Arabidopsis thaliana: one gene and its partners. The protein of the gene in region 1 interacts with the protein of each later gene in a pairwise test. Each region holds a gene or a part of one and is shown on either strand. Other genes may lie near its edges.

Region 1 (8,086 bases):
GATGGTAGTCATATCAACCCTGATATGGATCTCTTTAGCCAAAGAAGAATGATGGACATAAATGCCTTCAACTACAACCAGAACCAAATTCACCCTAATCATGCATTACCACCCTTTGGAAACAATGCTTATGGTATTAATGAAGGGTTTGTTCCAGAATACAATGTGAACTTCAGACCAGAGTATAACCCAAACCAAAACCAAATCCAAAACCAAAATCAAGTTCAAATCCAAATCCAAAACCAGAGTTTTAAGAGAGAAAACATCTCTGAATATGAACATCATCATGGTTATCCTCCCCAGTCTAGATCTGATTACTATTAACCCTTTGTTGTGTGATCCAACTTAAGTCTCTAGACAAAAAGTTGTGTGTTTAGGTTATCTTTATTTCTTCTTATTTATGTTTCTACATGTGTTGTTGTTGTTTTTCTTGTTCTTGTTTAAGTATTATGTTGTATTGTGTTGTTTCATTTCAAAATTATGTTATTGCTATATATAAATTATATGTGTCGGAAACAAATGCATTACGCCTCTGAAAATACTAGTCTGCCATGGTTACGTTTACGCATTTTGGGCAATTGCAGAATTTTAAACACAGAAAGGTAATAATCATAATCAATCATGTACTATTTTAAAATAAATTTGCAAAAAAGCATAATGAAAATTTCTGTGTGCACCATTTTTCAACTAAAATAGTACATACATTATCCCACATATTTTGGTACATTGTAAAAAATGAAATGACAGCATTACAATGGCTTTCCCTCTAATTTCATTCCTTATAATGATGAAATACAGATATTGTGAAATATTCCTAAAATGATAAAAATCTAATTCTAATATAGAAAATATAATAAAATTAATGTTAAATTTAAGGAAAATATAATAAAATTAAGGTTAACTTTTAGTTGAAAAAAAGGCTAAATCTATGTCACATCATTCTATTTAATTAATCCGTGCAGTATACTCTAATATTTATTTTCCTTAAAAAAGATTAAATCATCATCAAATATCTAGTATGTATTAGATATCAATCTAAAAATAAATAAAAAAATTGTAAGAACAATACAAGAGTATCCACATATGTAAGAACTTAAGAAATGAAATTTTCAAAATCAAGCAAAATACTTCAAAACTAATATATATATTGTAATTTTGAAAACCTTAAAATCCAATGGCATGCTTTACACATCCCATAAACTCACATATCTCTCGAGTAAAACGGTACACATGAGACATCCATGGAGACCAGAAGAAACACAAACAAACACATAAATGGATTCAAAGACAAAGATAAAGTTGAAGTTCTTTTGTGAGCAAAACACACTTTAAAACATAGGAAATAAGCTTCTTTATGGGTATCAAACCCTAGTGATTGTAGGAGAAGAATCAGGCTGGCTCACAGAAGATGACTTTGATGCTTCCATCATGAGAGCAGCTTGCTCTAAACAACTCTTGTTATCGTCATTCGCATTCTCCACTTCCTCTTTCGTGTATAAGTGTATCTTCCACACCACATTGCAGAAATCACTATCCATAGCAGAAAGCCAATTTCAAGTTAGGAGAAAAGAAGTTGTGATTGACCTTTAGAAGGTATGTATAAAGAACTTACTGCCATGGATCATCGCCAACGACCATCATATCGTTCTCACTATCAGTATATAAGATCCTCCATCCTTTTTCAGGATCCCTGAGAAGCCCTTCCATGTTGAACAGCCGTTCAAGCTCCATAAGGAGATCATCATACCCGTTAAGTCGCGACAAATCAATAGCTCTCCCCACTTGGCTTCCTTGCTTGTGAACCTTTTGATAACAATTCAACACAAGAACTGATTAGAAGAGACATCTAAAACTGCAACTCAAAGTAGCCAAAGAGATGATAAAGAAAACGTTTTACCTTTGTACAGATTCTTTTGCTCGAGCTTTGCGGCTTAGATGCAGGTGTCTCCACTGGTAAGGAGAATCCGAAAAGTTTACATCCTGATGAAGCATTCATATTCAACTCACTGCCTTTCTGTTTTCCCATCATATCAATCTTGAATGGCAAATCAGCTGTAACATTATTTGGTAGGCCACCTTCATTTTGTGCATCAAACTTTCTAGTCTCTTCACCAAAGTTTATTGCACGTGAAGGGGGACCCGAGGATTGGTTTCCCGCATTGTATGGATTCTGATACGGAACATGAGTGCTCCTAATCCCATGCAAAGCTAGCGGATAGTAACTTGACTTGTTGGCTTGGTAAGCAAAGGGATTAGGAGCAGCAGCTGGACTGAAACCAGCAAATTGCGGGAATGATTTAAGCGAGCAAATTTCTTGACCTTGCAAGACCCTTGGAAACCTATCCAGGTCCATAACACCTGAACAAGCTGGGTTCACGCCAGTAGCATCTACAAACTCACCAAATCGATCCTTGACTCTACTCGACACAAGAACTGGATTTGCATGAGACTGCATCGCAAAATCCAGTATCCGGCGGTTCATAACATCAAACCCCTGTGAGGGTGATGCAGAACCTATATTTTCTTGACCTTGCAAGACCTTAGAGGGTCTAACCGACTCCTCAAAGTCCAAAAAACCACCCCTTTCTGCTGCAACCAAGAACAGTTATCAATAATATACTGATGAAAATTGAGAACTGTTTGCAAAAGCATATACTCCAAAGAGAAGAGAGGTCTATATAATTTACTTGTTATGGGGTTTCCGGGTGGGGTAGTATCCAGTAAACCTGCCCATGGCCTTTTAGGCCTTGGAGATGACTGAATGCTCAAGTGTGGGAGAGAAACCGAGGGATCAATCTCCCAAGGTGAAACTCTTTCTTGATGATCACTCACAAAAGACTCATCCCATCGCACCTGCCAAACAAATGTGAAAGATTTAGATATCAATCTTCGAAAATGAAAAGTCTTCTACACGTTAATAGACAGATACTCCAAAAAGATGAGAGGACGCACCAACAAGCACCTCCATTTAGAGTTTGGCCACCTATACGGGTCCAAGTCACAGACTCCAGTCACTACACCAGCGCATCTGCAAGAAAGATCGAATATAAATTCTCGTCCAACAATATTAGCTACACAACACAGAGAAAGAAGCAAGAAAGAAACAATACCTTCTCTCAGGAGAATCGTCCATTTCAAATCGCATTCTAAATCTTGTGCCTATGCAAACAGGACTCCTGATGCTTGTGATATACTTCTCATAAGGAATCACAAACTCTGCATGCGTCGCTCTGTATATAAATCCACAAATCAACATTATAGTTCTTTATTTCTTACTGAACCTAGTTAAGAATCATTACGAATGGCAGCTTTTCATTTTTATCTCACCGTGGACTGTAGAACACATGAAACATGCTTTTTGTAGATACAGCATTAGCCACAAGAGACAGAATGTTTGAACATGAATTCTTCTCAATGATTGAGTCAGGAAGTCCATTTCTTGGCCGTGCTGCTCTTCTGATTCCTAATCTCAGCTCTCCTCCTTCGTCTCTATAAACGCCGATATTAGTAATGAATGTAAACATTATTGGATCAAGGGCTTCAAACCACCAAAGCAGAGGGAAACACCATGAATCTACATCACCATTTGATAAACTGAAATCTTACGATTACCTCAGAAAGAGAACCGCATCACCAGAGACGAGATTCTTTTGACTGACAAAGATACTCCAACCAGTGGTGAGTAGATGCCTCCTTGGTTGACCTATATTAAAAAGAGACAGAACTAAACATTTTGGTTTCACTGACGAAGAAAAAAGAAACGAATAATAACAAACTCAAAACCACCTCTATAGATATGGCGAAACTTCCACTCTACTCCATGGAGGTCCTTTGCAATGAGCTCTTGAGATGGCCTCTGTTGTTTGTAGTCCTAACACCAGTGGAAAATTCACAAATAAGGCTTATAACAAGAAGATAAAACCTCTCCTTAAAAAAAAAAATAAGGAAATGAGATATAGAGAATTATACAAGAGGAGCAAAACAATCTTCAGCGGCTCTTCTAGGTACAGAGAAGCCTCCATGTGTGCTTGTGTCAGACGCTGTTAAGGTTTTACAGAACATATGAGGTGTCCGCTTGACGGATGAGCTTCCGTTCCTCTCTTCCTCCCCTCCTAACTCCTTGACCTCTTTCCCCTCCCCATTTAGCATCGAAAACTATAAAAACCAAGAAGTTACTTCAGCATCTTAACATCACAGAGATTATAAATGAAACTCAACAAGACCAACGGTTTCAGTGATTCCTCTGATCCTGTTAAACCAATGATGAGTTTGAGTCACTTAGAGAACAAACAAGATTATTCACAATCTCTTTAAACCGTAGCATCTAAAATCACACCTAGAATCTGGAATTACACTAGTGATATCAAAAATCAATTGAATTGTCAAAAAAGCAACAAGTTTGAGTAAAAGAGAGTACCTCTTGAAGTGGAAGCAGAGTGACTTGAGTGTAGACCTCATCGGTGTCCTTATTAGCCTTTTGTTTCCCCAAAAGAAGGAACCAAGTTTGCAAACAATTACCACAATTAGAGAAAGAAAACAGAACTTGTTCAAGAATAGTAAAATAGAACACAAAAGGAATGTTCTTTATTTGGGTAGAGTGATACAGACAGACTTACAAGCAACTGGACATTAACCACCCTGCAGACGATTTGGGGATTAAGGTCAAATTTGGGGATTTCAAGAGGAGACGAATATGAAACCATAGCATCTTGCTCCAAATGACCTTGAGGGAAATAGACAACTACATTGCCTTTCTTGGGAAGACAAGTGAGAGGACCAGCACAAGCATGCCAAAGCTCAGAGTAAATGGAAGATGCAGAGCCTGTAGAAGATGATGACGATGATGATCCGGAAGAGCATGAAGAAGAAGAAGATGGTGAAATTCCAAGCCTACCCTTGTCAATTCTTGTTCCTCCTCCTACTCCTACTCCTACATCATCATTCTCCTCCTCTTCCACCTCCGCAATCTCAGTATTCAAGTCAAATTCCATTGAAAAAGCTTCTCTTTTAAGAGCAAAAGGAGACAAGAAGAAAACAAAAAGTTTCTATTTTTAATCAGATTACAACAAAACAAGTAAAACCCATCAAAGGAAAGTTTGCAAAATTCGAGCTTTGAAGTGACAGAATTCGGAATTCCTCTCCTTTTTCAGCTAAATTTCACAAAGAAGAGGCAAACTTAGCTATTGACGGGAAAGATGAGTCATAAGTGTGGAATAACGAATCAGAGACAGAGAGAGAAGAAGAGAGAGGAAGGAGGAATCAAATGAGAACAAGGGTTTCAGAGAAGGATTCTTCTTCCTCCATTTGCAGGTACTGAGAAGAGGGAGCACAAGGAACAGACATAGACTAAAATTTGCAGATTGGAAAAAAATATACTTTTTAAAGAGCAAAAAAAAAACAATTTAGTGGAAAGAGAGAGAGAGAGAGAAAGAGAGGGAGAGATAAGCGGGGGAGACAAAGCCAAGACAGAACAGAACCCACACCTACACTCTCCCTTTCTCCTTCTTCTTCTTCTTCCTCTTCTTCTCTCTTTTTTGTTTTTGTTTCCCAATAAAGACTTATTTATTCACATGAAATTTTATATATAAAAACTATATTTGTGTCAATATACACACGTTTACACAAAATAAAAGTTTTCACTTTTTTGCTAATTATTACCGTTTTTGATTTTCGTCCTTTTTGTTGAAAGAAGAAATGTTAAAAGTTTAATTAGGTGCTAATAAGACTAATTCAATCCATTGTCTAGATTGTTTTCTTCAAAATCAACTGTTTTTTAAATACGTCAAACCATCGATGAATCAATCGTTTAATTATTCATACTAGACTATTCACTCAAAATGAACCATCAAAGTTTATATGCATCTATTGGATTTATGGTATTACGAAATTGACGTAACCCTTTGTTTTTCTCATTCACACCATAATTTTCTTTAACTTGTGTGAGTTGTGAGGAATAAAAACCGCAAATTGATTAGCTTTTTCTTTGCATACTCTTACAAAGGAAACAGTATCTCTTTGGAATCTTTCTTTGTTCTTTCTTTTTTTATGTTATGAATTTTTATTTGTTTTCGATTTATTAGAAAAAATGCTTTTTCATTGCGTTGTTAAGAGCCAACCAACCGGCTAAAGACAGAAGAGTAGGCTCCTTTCGATTTTGTAACAAAAGCACTTTTTCTCTCTTTTTCTGAGACAAACAATATGAAAATCAGCATTTTGTTATTGATTAACTAAAGTACTGTCTGTGTTTAAAAACCTAATCAACTAAAAAAAACTTTCAGCGGTCTGTAATATAAAATTTATACTTCAATAACCACACCGACTCTTTCAGTAAAATAAAACTACTCAAATACTTACTACTTATTGGATAAATATCTTCAAATGGGTTTAGTAAAAATAAATAAAATATATTTGATGGTCCAAATGATTGCTTCATAATTTGAAAACATTTATATATACATTTTTGCAGTCATTTTAGCAAATAAATCTTAGAGTTGAACTTATTTACAACCCAATGCCATTAGCATTAAATCTTTTTTTCAAAATAATTAATTTTACTTTAAATTTTTAATTTAAATTGTCAATCACATTATCAATCAAATTTAATCCAAACAAACTTCACATCAATCCCTTAAAATTAGCATAAACGTATTTTATTAACAAAATTTTTTGTTTAAATAAATATTGTTCTTACTAAATATTTTTTGTTTAAATAAACAAATCATGTATTTGAACTTATTTACAATGTCATGCTACTGACATTAATTATTTAGGCATGAAAATATTTATTTAAAGATTTAAATCTTTTAAATTTTGCTTTTAGAGTTATTATATCATTTACCTAAAAGGCAAAAAATATTAATTTTTTAAATATTATTATTTGTATATTTAAACTTCATAAAACATTATTAATATTTGAATTTATAAAAAGTTTAATCTATCAAAAATAATTAACATCATTATATAATATATAAAGTTTAAAAAAATCTCAAAAAAAATTTCGTCATATTTTGTAATTCGAAATTTTAAGAATGAACATATATTAACCAATTGGCGAAAAATGTGTGGGTACAACGTCCCGCAACGACTAAAATATTTTGACAATGATTCATAAACATATTATAAATAAGATCAACATTAATAAAATAAATAGTTTTTTTTTGTGGACGGGTTTGGCAGGACGGGTTTGGCAGGACGTTACTTAGTAACAATGGTAAACTATAAAATAATTTACAAATTTTTATATATATTAATTTTTAAAAATGAACTGTGTCCGCGGTGTACCGCGGGTTAAAATCTAGTAACATGTATTTTTGCTCATATAATATTAGTTTGCTACTAATTCATATAACCTGATCAAAGTATCATATTATGTTTTGTATATTCCTTTCACAATTTCGCAACTTACTTAATTATCTACTTTTAAAAACATTTGATTATGAGTAATAACCTTTCGTAACTTCATTGGAGAAGAAAAAAAAGAATAAGAAAAGAAGAAAACAAAAAGGATGATGGGATGGGAGAAGGAGAAAGAATGAGTCTCTTCTTCAGAAGTTGTGAGTTAGTGACTGAGTCCCAACAACTAACAAAGACCCCCTTGATATTTGCTGCCTCTTTGGCCCCCACCTTCTTTATTGTTTTTCTTACATTTTTCATGCAACATACTCCTTCTAAAACTAGCTTAATATTCTCACTTTTTTTCTTTAGTACTTCTGATTAGAAATATATATCTTGTTTATTCTGATGTTGCACCATAATTCGAAACGTGTAATCTCTTATTCTTAATGATATGATTACCATATTCTTCTGTCTGCTGATCATAACTTTTAGTCAAAGATTATCTTTTTTTAATTAGTACTAAAAAGAAAGAGTGGATCGTATCTCATTTTCATGTTTCTTAATTTCCTAACTAAAATAATATTTTACTAAGAAAGTCGATTTTGTACAATTTTAGAAAAGACATCTAATTTGATTATATTGTGAGAAGTCCCACGGTTGAATTTTATGATGTGAGTTAGTTTTGGACCAAAAACTCAATATATATAATTATATACACGTAAATTTGTCAAAATACAACACATAAAGCAAT
Region 2 (4,669 bases), on another chromosome or scaffold:
ACGGTGGGCTTCCAATGGGCTTTCTTTGCTACCAAATCCAACAAGGTATTACTTTCTTCATTCTTTTCTTTTGCTTCTTTTTTTTTTTTGCTAAGAATTGTTTTCTTTTCTTTATAACTTATTTTAAGTAAAACCAAAACTAATTAGTACAAAACCTTCACTAAAACATTACTATTTTAACACTTATTTTTATTTTATTTAAAAATGTTTTTAAAATTATATTTTTATATTACTATTAAAACTATAAGGTTTATTTTTTACAAGTGTTGAATTTTTAAATTTTGTGTAAATATTTGGACACAACATCCAAACCCTTAAGAGGTGTCATAGGTTCAATATGGTTTACACACTATTTAAATTTTTAACATTTTTTTTCTTTTATTTACAAATGTTTTTAAACTTGTATTTTTATATTACTACTAAAACTATAAGGGTTTGTTTTTTATAAGTGTTAAATTTTTAAATTTTGTATATATATTTGGACACAACATGCAAACCCCTAAAAAGTGTCCTAGATTTAAAATGGTTTACACACTATTTAAACTTTTAACACTTGTTTTTTTTTTTAACAAATGTTTTTAAAATTCTATTTTTACATTACTACTAAAACTATAAGTTTATTTTTGGATAAATGTTAAAATTTTAAATTTTCAAATGGCACTTCGTTTATTGATAATAGATGTTTCCGCCATGTAATCAATAACAATAAGATATATACAGAGTGCTAGAGAAAAATGTTACAAGAAAGAAATCCGCTTTTATATTACGATCTCTAGGATAATTTAATGTCAATCTCAAGTATTCAATTCCATTTTTAGTTCTTCGTTTATTGATATTCCTGCATGTAATCAATAACAGTAAGGTCTACGAGTGCTAGAGAAAAATGTTACAAGACCTAGCATTCTTACAAAAAAAAAAATCCGCTTTTATATTACGATCTCTAGGATCATTTAATGCACAAATTCGAATGCATAAAAATGAAACGTGTAATTTTTTTAAAAAAAACATATTAAAACTTTGAGCATCCCGTCTTGTCGAGTGTCGATGTCGTCATGCCCGGATCGTGGTGGTCGGCACTGATGCTTAAAAGTGGTTTGTAATTATTGAATTAAAAAAAAAAAAAGTAAAATCATTTAAACAATAGTAGTACATTACATACAAAATCCACGGCCAAAAAAGGTTTGAAATTACATATATAGCATATTGCAATTCAAAAATGCAATTGTATACATCTCTACAGTATTTAATGCATTTGTGATCATAATCTTATATAGCCTTTCGAAGATCCGATGCGTTTACGTTGTGGGAAGCAGAATAGAGACCTATAATCCAATAGCATCTCCGGTTTTCATTAACCTCATACGTTTGCAAGATTCCACAAACATCCTACACAAATTAAATATCATCAATCCCAAGAAAATTTAGTTTCCTTCACAGCAGAATAATACAGTAATTCTAGTTTTGATATGAATGTAAGTAACAAAATAGTACAGAAATTCTAGTTTTGAATAAAAAAGGAAAAGTACGTAAAAGCAACACAAAGGGTAATTCCGAGAACTCACATCCACGGCACATCTCCGACTAACATCAAGTCACCGTCCTTATCCTCGTAAGTAGCAACAAACTCTCCCTTCCTCTCCAACTCTGTCACTCTACCTACCACCATCCAAAACCCCAAGTGTAAGTAAATTTACCATAATATCCTTCACTTCGTCAGTCCATCCAAACACATCAAAATCTTTATTTTTTCCTACTTATCTCGATCACTTACATATTGTTATTATCCCCTGAAACATGTTTTCTAGAGCGGTGAAAAGCTGTCCATAGCAATCGTACATCCCAAGATCAACCTTTCTGAGATAGGCCGCACCATCCAACGCCACTTTCACGTATTTCCGCCTCACTGTTTTCCTCGCTGTCGCTACCGGCGGCCAGCCCACCAACTGGTCACTAAAACCACAATAAATTAAGAAGATCAATCAAACATGCATATGACCTATATGAACGATAAATGAAATTAATATAATATATATATGCCGTACTTAGTGACCATGCTTGAGATATAATTGTTCTCGTGTGCTTCCCCGAGTTTTAAATCAACGGTCTCGAGGAATCTACGTTTGTTCCCGAACTTTTTTGGACCTTCCGATGCATTTGTCGGAGTGCCAGGCAAAGCTAGGGTCAGCTCAGTTCCTCCAAGATCACCGGAATCCGGCCAAACCCTAACGTATTCCTCCGGTGACATTAATATCTTAATCTATTTATGAAAGTTAGTTAACAACAAAAGTGCGGAAAGTGATGAGACAATGTGGCACTAACTTTTGGCTTGAGTGTGTGAGACTCTCGAGGTTTCCAACTTTGTATTTATAGTCGATCTATACTTGTCAGCTAAAAAACTAGTGAACCCTACCTATAATGACACGTTTTCCTGTAACTGGCGGTTTTTATATCTCCACGAAAGCAAGTGAACAGTTTGGTGATTAGCTTCTACTTCGTGTGGTGTGGGCTCATTTATAGTTATAGCCACTTAGCATCTTCTAAACTGTCATTAGTGGATGTAATTGCATGTGTACGGATATCTTTTCAGTTTTAATTTCTATTAGCCTGGTATCAAAAGAAGAAGAAGAAGAAGAAATCACTGTCAACTAAAAAAGAAGAAAGAAGAAGAAGAAATCAGCCCTGATCTTTAAGCTCCCACGTCACGACTGATGGGTTCGATTAAGGAGAAAAATATATAATTTGATTATATTATCCACTAGCATTCACAAAACGAGAAAAATATATATTCTAAATACCATTATTTACTTTCTAAATAGAGTTGAAAATATCATTTTAATCGCATTCATGTTACCTTTGCTTATAATCGTTGGAAAATATAATAAACTTTATTCCCATATATATTTGTTTGTGTTTGTCAACTTCAGTCCAATAATTTAACATTAGACCAAAAAAAAAAAACTTCAGTCCAATATATTCTTCGGGAGAGATCTTCAATAGTGTTCCTTTTGTCTACACTTTGTTGTCGCTTTACTCCTTTAAATTATCATTCCAACTAACTTTTTCTTGGTAAAAAAGTTTCACCATTATATATGTACATCAACTTTCACTGTCGTCGGTCGAAAACAAATCATGGTCTAACAATATATTCCTAATTATCTATCATCGTACACTACACACTAATTAGGTACAATACTTCTTCATTAGTTTAATCTTTCACCGAATATCAGAAGAAATCCCAACTAATATGCGTGTGGATCTTGTAAACAATGAAAAGAATGTTCCCACCAAAAAAACAATGTGAACAGAACTAAATGTTGAAACTTCTACTTCAAAATTGAAATAAAATCTAAAATAAAATATATAATGAACATCAATCATTGTATAAAAGCGATTAAAAGTTTCATGATTTGGGATAAAAAAAGTTAGAGATAGATAACTATCCCTTTTTTAGTGAACAAGTATAAAGTTTTTACTGAAAAGTTTTTCAGTGTCCGGTATTAATTTCATATTAGTCATATTATTTACATGCAATATGAAATGAGATGTCAAAAAAGTTTAGACAAAGGAAAAGAGCAGAACATTAATTACAGCAGCGTAGGGTCACATGCGTAAGTCACGTGACTCTGTTTTTCGTTGGGGAACATAGAATCATAAATGATTTTTTCGATGGTTCACGACACTATTCTTAGACCAATAAGGGCAATAAGAGTTAAACCAGGGGCTAATAGGTCCTACTGGCGACACATAGACGAATTTACCGGTTTCGATTACAAACCCGTGACCGGTAATTCCGGTCAGCCATTGTTTTCTAAGTTTGTTTTCTTTCGTTATAATGCGCATGGAATGAAACAGTCGTATAATTCATTTAACTCGACTCGTAACAAAATATGTGAGATAATAATAAGAAGTACATAAATTTGGTAGCTAGTATTTAATGTTAATTGATACTTTTTGTCTCAAATAATCGAAACTGCTTTTAGGCTCTAGAAAACTGATATTGATGTCTTGGACATTTACTTGGGTATAATAAATTGCGATAACATAATAGAGCGGTCCGAGACTTAGAGAATTACGAAACCAGTAAATTCTATACAGATTGTTTATCCAATTAAGCCCAAACCAATCCAGGTTTCCTACAGTGGGTCAAGAATACATCATGGCAGATTTGATACATCATAATGCCATTATGGTATCAAGCCCAAAATAAGCCCAGTTATTTTTTCTTTCTTTTGTTGTCATTCCATAAAAATCTACATAACGGAATCCAGAATTTGATTAAGATCTTATTCCGTTATGTTCCAGATAATTAGAGTGTCATATCTCTATAATGAACTTCATATTAAATTTCTTTGTCTTAACATGCATTAGAAAAAAGGGTTTAAAACTCTATTAAGAACTAAATATATCAATAACATTTACAGTATAATTTTAAAATTTAGAATGACAAAAGAAACATTATAGAATTTTAAGAAATGATTTGGGAATAGACAAATCAATAAACCTCAGACTATTATGAGATTTGTTTTTGTCTGGAAGGAAATTGCTTAATCAGGTAATAAACTCAACAAAGCACCTTCTAAACAAGGAGTCATCCACGACCGTCCGATCAGATTAGTACATAGAAACCCTTAAGATCCAACGGTTAAAGATTTAAGACAGAAGGACGAAA
Region 3 (4,485 bases), on another chromosome or scaffold:
GCGGTAATTTTGGTTTCTAGTTTTATCAGTCAGTTTATAAAACAATAAAACCATTTGTGATTTTGTTCGGTTTGGTATTGTTTGGAATCGGTTCAAAATTTAGGTGAACATAACTTGAAAGCGAATTATACAGAAAATTTGACTGGTTGGCCCGGTTTCGCCCGGTTTGATAAGTGAAAATTTGTTCATTAATATATACAGTACTCAAATCTTATCAACTTTTAGAGTTCTTGAGCCATTACATATACATTTTATTCGCAAGACTAAGTAGATCTAAAAGAGCAATTGTGATGCGAGGGACACAATTAATGAGAGTAATGTTGAGATGATGATACATATATAGAAATCAAACGCAGCAGCAACAACACTTGCACTTCTCGTAGCAGCAACAGCAACAGAACAACGCGTAAAACCTACAACAGGTTAAAAGATTATCAAATAATCAAGAACTCCGAATTCGATAAATAAAAAAAGAAAAGAGAAGAGATACTAAATGATACAAAAGGGTCTACGATACAGATACTAAATGAAAAGAGAAGAGATTATATTTTGGTACGGACGTTGCGAATAAGCAGCCTTGTTCGTCTTGCCGTTTCTTGACATTGTCATAGTAAGTCATTTCTTGTTGTGGCGGTGCCTTCATTCTTTTGCGTGAGTGTCTTGATAACTTTAGGGGTTGGGATTAATTGGATGTAGTATATATATAGACTTCAAATCTGCTACCTGCAAACTGATATGATCATTTAATACGGAAGATATGGCAACATTTATTTGGACCGACAAAGTGGTTAGAATCTTCACCCAAAACTACATTTGATATGATATAGGAATAAGCCAGCTTTAATTTGGCTCTTGGTGAAAGAAAAAAACAAATATTTAACATTTTTCATTCTTTCTTAAATTAGTTGGGAAGATTCATTAGGTTTTCACTATTTTTAGCTCCGTTTAAGATTCATAGGTTTCCACTATCTTTGGATCGGCGATAAAAAGATGATTTAGCCGGAGGATTTATAAAGTTATAATAATCACGTACCACTTGATTTTTAAGAGAAAATAATAGTAAGTCTAGAAAACTACTAAAGCAAACTATTGTGAGGCATTACTTTGTTGTTATGGTTTTTTTGTAGTTGATTACCCTCGTTTCCTTTTGTACTTTTGTGAACAATTTCAAGTGTTATATTTCATATGAATCATTCAGACGAAAAAAAAAAGTATTGTGAGGCTAAGAAACACCTTTAATGAGCCATAAAACATTAAAGTATGATACGACCAGTAAGGAAATACATTTGAAGAAAACGTATATATCATCATTATCATATAAATTTTACAATTTGAAAAATGATTATAATGAAAAAAAATTACTCAACGGTTTTCAAACTTTATGGTTAATTAAAGATGATCAACACTAGCTAGTATGATTAATCTTGCTGGAGACCAAAACCAGTTGCATCTGATCTCTTCACGATCCTCAGCCTCTTGCATGATTCTTTAAACATCCTGCCGACAAAAAAAATTTACAATTTAAAAAATAAAATTACAAATTTTTGACTTGTAAGAGGTTAATTATATTCATTTTGGTAAATTTGATAATTGAGCATTGTAATGCAAGCTAAACATAAACTTACTGCCAAGGTACATCTCCGACGAGCATCCAGTCTCTATCCTTGTCTTCGTATATAATAATGTATTCACACTTCTTACCCTCCTTCGCCACTCCTGCATAGTTTATATATACATGTGTTATATTTCATAAAGTTCCAACTAATATATGTGTTTTACTCTCTTCACACTTCCAATATATATAGAAACCCTAACAATACGTATATATAAAGTTTATAGCTCAATTATAAACATGGTCATGTAACTATTAACTAACGTTACGGGAAATTAGTCCATGCCATTACTAACCTATGCCAAGACAGCCGAAGAGATTCTCAAGAACCGTGACTAGATTAATATAACTGTTGCTCGAACCAAGGTCAATCTTCCTCATGTATGGCACACCATCCATGCTCACTTTCACGTAGCCTATAGCTTTCGATGCTTCCTCATTGTTCTTCTTTCTCCTGTAAGAACACACAGGTGGCCATCCCACCGCTTGACTCTTCACAACCGGCAGTGATTCATCTTCAACTGATGAAACGACGCTGTTTTCATTCTCAGTATCTAACGCTGATGAGGTCATCATATCCGAGAGCACCCTCTTCTTCTTCTTACTCGATCCGCATACTGATATTTCGCTATAATTATCTCCTGGAAGACCCAATCGAAGCTCTGTGATCTCGAGTGCTAGACCTTCCTTTGCCATTTATTTCTTCTCTTTTTTCTTTTTGTTTAAATTTGGCTATATGAAGTTTTGATACTTTTTTTTTCTCTCAAGCACTTCTCTTGTTGGAATGATAGTATTGAGCTGCCTCGTGCTTTTATATGTTGTCAAGTTGCTCCAACAAGATCCAATAATATACTGACACATGGAAGAGACTAACATTCATAATTATTTCTGTTAGCTTTGTGGAGGAAGACAAGGTTAGACCAAAGACAGGTCAACTGAGGATGTGTTGGTCGGTCACATGAGAGACATATGTTGGGTCCTTGTTCTTCATTTTTGTTTATATAGGATTTGTTTTAAGAGAACAAATCTTACCGGTGTTAATATTTGTTAGGTTTCTTATAAGATTTATCATTGGCCATCTTTCCTAAACATTACATGTGTTATCCTTAATAATATACAATTATGTATTCTAAGGATACTGTATTAGTATTATTTCTTAGCCTATTCTTGCTCACATTTTTATTTGGTAGTTGAATACAAATTGTACATACAGGTACATCAAGAATCACATAATGTAGATTTGAGAATCAATGAAGAAAAAAACCCTCACATCAAGGATTGGAATTAGAATTAAGGAAGTTGAGTGGGAAATAACATGTAATCAATAGGACACGTCTATCATCGGACTATCACTAATGTTTTTTTTTTTCTTCTTTAATTTACTTTATTTGTGGCTATTATTTTTCCTATTTTAAATATCTTAATGCTTAATATTTGTTCACATTTCTAAAAAATAACGGCTGGATTTTGTGATAGAATGAATAGATGCATTTAGCTTTAAATTCGTTACTTAGTGACCTAAGTTAGTTACAAAATATAACACAAATAATCTGAATAGGTAAGAGTAATCTGGTTCTTTAGTCTACTACTCTACTCTATAAACAATCTTTTGCATCGATCATATTCAAATCTGGATTTTGCAATATAATATACAGCTAGATATTTGAGGGAAGAAAATGAAAAAACGTGTACGTGAGTTGGTTCTTGAATGAAGAAGAACAAGAAGTTGGTCCATGTGACATAATATGAACCATAACAATTAGGCAGACGCGTTAATTTCACTTCATATCAAACAACATTGGTCGTCCCAAGTGTTAAGTGTCTTTCACCAATGTTTCCATGCATTTATGATTTATGTCCCATTAATTCTTCTATATAGTGTATTAATATTTAATCTCGGATACTTTAGTAATACGTATCTGCCAAAAATCATTTGGTATACTTTTCCACGTGATTCATAGAGAAGAACGACCAAATAAAAATAAGATGTCAAGTATGTTCCTACATCGCGTAGCTAAATGATGAAACCGCATGAACTTTGATTTGAATATTTATTTTTGGGTCATATACTAATTCTGATCAAATAAATAACACGCAACTTGGAATAAATTTATGTATATAAATGTAATCAGAACCAACAGAATATATATCTAGTTCGAAATCATGAAGGCAACTATAAAATTCAGTATTTACAAGTGTGATGATAATGAAAGTGTAATTGTATGAATCTCCGTGAATGGAGAGTTATGTATTGAACATATATATAGGGTTACATGAGATAAGCATAAATCTGTTCCTAAGATATTAGATATATACAAATATAAGATTCTCATATATATAATCTAACAGAAAGACAGAGATCATAAGAAGAAGAAAAAAGAATGATTCAGTTTGATATTTTTATATATTTCATATTTTAGAGAAGAAAAAAAATGTGTTTTAAACTAGATAATGTTTTCAACTTTCAATGTAAATTTTTTTAATTGTTTTCACGATTTAAGTTCTGTAGGTTGTTTTATTATTTGTTGAATCGTATTTAGGTACATAATAAATGATTTTTAGTTTAAAAAATAAATAAAAATAAATGATTAATTAATTTGTGTGCAAAACATTTAAACATCTAGTATCAAAGACGGAAGAAGTATTTAAGTTGGAGTTGATAAACCTTATAAACTTCCAAATACCACTACAAGAAAACAAGCGATTTGCGAGGACAATTTGCGATGGAAACAATCCCTCGCAAATTGCTACAGATTTGCGAGACATTTGCGAGGGAGAGAAGACACGTCGCTTTTCCGTCGCAAATTTTGCGAGGGATAATTCCCTCGCAATATTGCGTGAAATTTGCGAGGAACTTGCGAGGACGAAAAAAT
Region 4 (5,139 bases), 6.8 Mb from region 1:
ACAGTAGTAACGATGATCACAGTAACGATTATCCTTACCACGAATCTTTTCCAGTTACCGGTTTGATAAAGGTCAGTACCAGAAATAAAAATGTTTCTTTCTTTCTTTCGGATTCCTTACCACGAATCTTTTCCAGTTACCGGTTTGATAAAGGTCAGTACCAGAAATAAAAATGTTTCTTTCTTTCTTTCGGATTCCTTACCACGAATCTTTTCCAGTTACCGGTTTGATAAAGGCCAGTACCAGAAATAAAAATATTTCTTTCTTTCATCAAAGTCAGTTTCTTTTGTTTTGGGGTTTTTGTAGGGTTTATGTCCAGGACTAACACATGCTCAGAAATATGGTTTTTCGTATGTTCTACCGGAGAAGACAGATCGTGAAGATGTTAATCAACCTAAACCGGTAGTTACAAGCAGTTCAATTGTGTTAATCTCGGATCAAACAGTGGAGAAGAGACCACAGGAAGAAGAAGGATTTACTTCTCAGTCTGAACCAATAATGACAATCTCTGGTGGTAGTAGCAACGACCAAACAGGTCAAGAGCTAACCTTGTTAGAGTCAGAAACTGATGATCAAAGATCATACTCTTCTTAAATCTCTCATTTATATATATGTTCCACAGAAGAAGATTACAAAAACTTTTGTTAGAAATATAGATTCAGTTTTCCAATCTCATCAAGAATCTTGAATCCTTCTTTTGTTGATCGATTGTTGTCTCATCATAATCATCATCATCATCATCGAGACAACTAGGTTTAAGTATTTGGTAAAATTCTTGACTTAATAATCATCTTGCATCAAGAACATTAGGTATGAATGTAAAAATTGTTGGTGCACAAAGGAAAAACCTAAATTCAATGAACCTATCTATACCATTTTAAAATATTACTCTAGTTCCAAGGTTCATAGATTATTATAAGTGATAGTGGAGACAAATTAGCACAGTTGGGTAGATTTACTTGTTTAAGGTATGGGGGACCAAAGTCACAGTTGGTAACAACAAAAGATAATATAAACATTTCCAAAGCCCCAAAAATATTCTCACTGCTCGATTAGATTTCTTATTTCTTTAATCTTGGTGACTAAACATGTATAATCTAAGTTTAAAGAAACTAGAATCCAATGATATATGTTTAGAAGCTGGGATTATTATTTTTACCATAAAGCAGCTTTGGTTTAATGATTTGTCTTCGTTGTGTTCATCTACAAGTTAGGTTTAATGTTCTGTGTTACAGTTTTGTAAAGACAGATCTTAATTTGAAGAGAAACAGAACAGAAAAATGGGTAATTACATCAAAAACATCAAAGTTGTTCGATAAGAACATTATAAAAAGTGAAAAACACAAAGATAATCTTCAGATTAGATCTTTCTAATACCACAAAACCTTTCTCTTTAATGGAGACAGAGTTACAGCTAAAGTTTAGATTTAGATCTTTCTCACACTTTTATGCTTAAGACCATTTTAAGCATCTCTCTTTTTACCGATGAGGTAAACATTCACAAAGTATGATTGTATGAAACATCTCTCCCCAAGAACCCGAGCAGTTTCAGAGCTATATTTACTCTGTTTCAAGAAACAGAACAAAAAACTCTGTTTTTGAATCTTTCTCTTTGATCTTTATCTCTCAATTAGGTTTGTTAAAGACCACCACAACCTAAACCTTTAACTTCAGATCCTTTCATGATCCTTAGCCTCTTACAAGACGAAACAAACATCCTGCAATAACAACAAAACACCATAAATACATAAACAAGATTGTGTCATAAGTTAACTAATTTGAGAGATAAATGAAAATTTGTACTTACTCCCAAGGAACATCACCAACAAGCATCCAATCACCATCTTTGTCTTCATAAGTAGGTACAAAGTCTGAGCCTTTATATCCTTCTCTCTCAAAATATTCTCCCACAGAGAATTTAAACATGTTTTCAAGTGATTTCATCAACTCTGGATATTGTTTATACATCGTTAGATCTATCTTCCTTAGATATGGAGCACCATCCATACTTACTTTCACATAGTTTCCTTGACCTTCAGATTCACTCTTCTTTGTCTGAACATTGTTCTTTCTGTAAGATCTAACTGGTGGCCATCCAACAATCTGAGCCCTATAAAACAAGAAATAGCATAGATTAGATTAGATCAGATTCACAACTCAACACACATTTTCAGAGAAGTTGTATTTGATTCAAACACTTACTTTGGAGGAGAAGCGGTTTCAGTTTTTCCAGTGGATTCAATCTCTTTCTCAGTAGCTTCAGGTAAAACTCTTTTGTTGCTTTTTCCACAAGAAACAGTTTCTTCTGTCCCTGGTAATCCCAATCTCAGCTCTGTTGCCTTTAGGTTAACAAGCTCATCATAAACATCAACTTTTTCCATTTCTTCTTCAAAGAAAGAACCTCTTTGTTTTTGTGTGTTTTGTGTTCTTGTGGTTGTCTAGAGAGAGAGAAAGACTTGTTGATGAGATAAGAGGCTTTGTGAAGAAGATTGTTTTATAGGAATTGAAAAGTCACTTTTTTGGTAATTTAGAAAAAATGGGATTAACTTGATTTAAGGACAAAGGCAAAAGCTAAAGCTGTCGGGTAGTAAACAGTAGCAGCAACTTTGAGGCAAAGTGTGTCCCATCATTTTGGGGACATTTGTGGGACACTTTCATCTTCAACACAAAGAAAGATACTTTCTTTGATTTTAGAGGACGGTCTAGATTCATTTCTCTGTAGCCCTAATTCAAGGAAGTGGGGTAGAGTATGGTACACTCATGTGCAGAATATAAAAAACCTTTCTCTTTTGTTCAAGCATTGAGTTATTGTAGGGTAAGCATTACATGTACTGTGGTCTGCCATATGCATTTGTCACCTCTCTCTCTCTCTCTTAAAGCCAAGAACTTACTCTTTCATCTATTTGTGGTTCATGTGATATCAGGATTAGATCATCCTAGTCAATTGAGTTGAAACTCTAGCTGTCTAAAGTCAAACATATTCATAGTCTTTTTTTCTGTGTTTGGAGGATAAGATTTTGAGTTTCATTGGGTCTGATTGGTAGCTTCATGTGTGTCCAACTAGTATTTGAGTTGGGACTTTCGAGAGTATTAGTAAAGAAAAACAAATAGTATTTGAGTTAAAATTATACTATTTGTTTTTCTTTACTAGTTTTCATGAAAGTCCCAACTTAATTTGTCTCTCTGTCTCTATGAAACTTCTAATGATCTTTATATATATGAATCCAGGAACAAACTGACAAGAAATCTTGCCAAAAGGTTTTGTCTTTAGACAGTTCATTATCTATGGGGTCTTATCGTTTTGGGTTTTGATTTCTCTCTGACTTTGTTTTCATGTTACTACAGCAAGGCAGTTTATGTACTTGTCATGCTTTAGTGAACCAATGTAAACCAAACCTAACCTAATCTCTTTGGAGGACCAAATTTGAAAACCTATGTTCAAGACTATTTTTTTATCCTAAGTTTGTTTAGTCTCGATTTCAAATTTTTTTTTTCTGTAGAAAAAGTTTTGAATCGTTACACATTAAGGGGTATTATTCAGTCATGGATTTCAATAGAATCAAATCCAACACTAATCCACTGTGATTGATGATTCTAAATGGTGCTTAAATATTTGTGATTAATTTATCATTAGTATTATGTTATTTTTGGCACATGACCTCCTAATAGTCTAAATCCTTCTTCTTGAGTATGATTTATGGATTACGACATTTGGGAAGTGAACATTTAGGAGATTGTTGGTTTTATCCGAATTGGTCTCAAAAAGGAGAATTTTAAAGGTAGTGAGTTTGGTATTTATTGTTACACGGTAGACGACAAGACTTTGGGTTCGATTTGAAATGTGAAAAGTTGGTTTCATTGCATGGTTGGCGTTAGAGATTTAAGTTCATGACTAGCTTATTTAGCTAGAAATCAAATACTGAAAATGAGACGTATCTAACAACAAACCGGTTCATGGCATTCTCTCCGGTTCCGGTTCTTTTGGACTCTATGTTGGATTGATCCACCGTTGGATCCAATAAATGATATAAAACAGCTACACACATGATCATACATATACAGCTTCATAAGTTATAGTTGGTGGGCAATATATATGCTTTTATATCATCCTAGTGATTATTCTAATGGTGGCTGGTTTGATGAAAAATTAGGCATCACCTCTTCCATGTTGAATTTGTTCTTAACTATCTTTTTTGAATTTTTTTACATAATGTTCAATATTTTTTGTATGGACTATGCAACAAAGTTTTATTATTAGTGAAAACATATCTTATTCAAAAAAGAAAACGGAAAATTAACATAGACATAAACAAGGAGTAATTCTGTTGTTAGGAATACATTTCATATGACATCCATCCATGCAGTCATCATCCAGTAATTTCACTACCTGCGGCGAACCTTCATGATGCAACTGAGGAATTTCTTCAAGTAATAACCTTTTCGCCTCAACATTTCGAACAGTAACGATACTCATCACTACAAAATCAGAAACTATAAATAACAAATTTTGTATATAGATTTTTGTTATTTGCTTCACACGTGAAATATAAATTTTACCTGATGTAACAATTAGGCAGATAAGGAAAGCAAACTTCATTGGTATTTTTTTACTTTACAATATATAGCGGAAGTTGTTACACAAAACTCGGGGTACTCCCCAATACGTAGAAGTACAACTATTTCTAGATACAATAGTTATATAAAGGGATCTACTGTAAATTACTAATTATTTTGTTTTTGTTACCAGCCAAATAAATACTTATCAAATTACAAGGAAAAAGTCCAGTTATTGACTAAGTAAAATTATATGAATTTATTACAAAATTTTGTAAATATACATGAGACTAGTATAACTGATATTCTACAAAAAGTCGGTAACAAACTAACAATATAAGACCAATTCTAGAGTGCAAACTAGAAAACAAACAGTTTAAGAGTTACAAGAGATAGATCATATAGTTTTGAAATATGGAAGCAAATAACAATCATCAATCCATATTCTATATTGTAGTTTTTATTTGAATTGTGGCAAGACTTTGGGTTCGATTTGAAATGAAAAACTTTGGTTTCATTGCATAATGTTTAACCTGTATATATATAATAGGAGAGTCCTCTCTCCATTTAGGGTGTCCATCTAAG

What was found.
Region 2: the proteins of ARF4 (region 1) and IAA15 interact in a two-hybrid assay, tested with the Arabidopsis thaliana proteins (one large-scale study listed by BioGRID).
Region 3: the proteins of ARF4 (region 1) and IAA6 interact in a two-hybrid assay, tested with the Arabidopsis thaliana proteins (one large-scale study listed by BioGRID).
Region 4: the proteins of ARF4 (region 1) and ATAUX2-11 interact in a two-hybrid assay, tested with the Arabidopsis thaliana proteins (one large-scale study listed by BioGRID).

Annotation. Positions count from the first base shown.
Region 1 is NC_003076.8:24,307,197-24,315,282, forward strand, and holds ARF4 (auxin response factor 4), read right to left. Parts: upstream 5,589-8,086; 5' UTR 4,992-5,588; coding exon 4,617-4,991; intron 4,475-4,616; coding exon 4,418-4,474; intron 4,156-4,417; coding exon 3,970-4,155; intron 3,872-3,969; coding exon 3,787-3,871; intron 3,704-3,786; coding exon 3,613-3,703; intron 3,490-3,612; coding exon 3,328-3,489; intron 3,231-3,327; coding exon 3,111-3,230; intron 3,029-3,110; coding exon 2,953-3,028; intron 2,854-2,952; coding exon 2,688-2,853; intron 2,587-2,687; coding exon 1,898-2,586; intron 1,804-1,897; coding exon 1,613-1,803; intron 1,531-1,612; coding exon 1,362-1,530; 3' UTR 1,059-1,361; downstream 1-1,058. Other genes in the region: AGL62 (AGAMOUS-like 62), read left to right, coding at 1-324. UniProt on the Arabidopsis thaliana protein: Auxin response factors (ARFs) are transcriptional factors that bind specifically to the DNA sequence 5'-TGTCTC-3' found in the auxin-responsive promoter elements (AuxREs). Could act as transcriptional activator or repressor.
Region 2 is NC_003070.9:30,220,458-30,225,126, forward strand, and holds IAA15 (indole-3-acetic acid inducible 15), read right to left. Parts: upstream 2,313-4,669; 5' UTR 2,246-2,312; coding exon 2,043-2,245; intron 1,951-2,042; coding exon 1,764-1,950; 3' UTR 1,563-1,763; intron 1,387-1,562; 3' UTR 1,172-1,386; downstream 1-1,171.
Region 3 is NC_003070.9:19,671,252-19,675,736, forward strand, and holds IAA6 (indole-3-acetic acid 6), read right to left. Parts: upstream 2,402-4,485; 5' UTR 2,309-2,401; coding exon 1,909-2,308; intron 1,717-1,908; coding exon 1,626-1,716; intron 1,498-1,625; coding exon 1,419-1,497; 3' UTR 1,225-1,418; downstream 1-1,224. Other genes in the region: CDT1 (cadmium tolerance 1), read right to left, coding at 274-413, 561-609. UniProt on the Arabidopsis thaliana protein: Aux/IAA proteins are short-lived transcriptional factors that function as repressors of early auxin response genes at low auxin concentrations.
Region 4 is NC_003076.8:17,547,707-17,552,845, reverse strand, and holds ATAUX2-11 (AUX/IAA transcriptional regulator family protein), read right to left. Parts: upstream 2,668-5,139; 5' UTR 2,382-2,667; coding exon 2,203-2,381; intron 2,111-2,202; coding exon 1,808-2,110; intron 1,719-1,807; coding exon 1,640-1,718; 3' UTR 1,131-1,639; downstream 1-1,130. Other genes in the region: AT5G43710 (Glycosyl hydrolase family 47 protein), read left to right, coding at 1-71, 307-594; AT5G43695 (uncharacterized protein), read right to left, coding at 4,295-4,476, 4,558-4,597. UniProt on the Arabidopsis thaliana protein: Aux/IAA proteins are short-lived transcriptional factors that function as repressors of early auxin response genes at low auxin concentrations.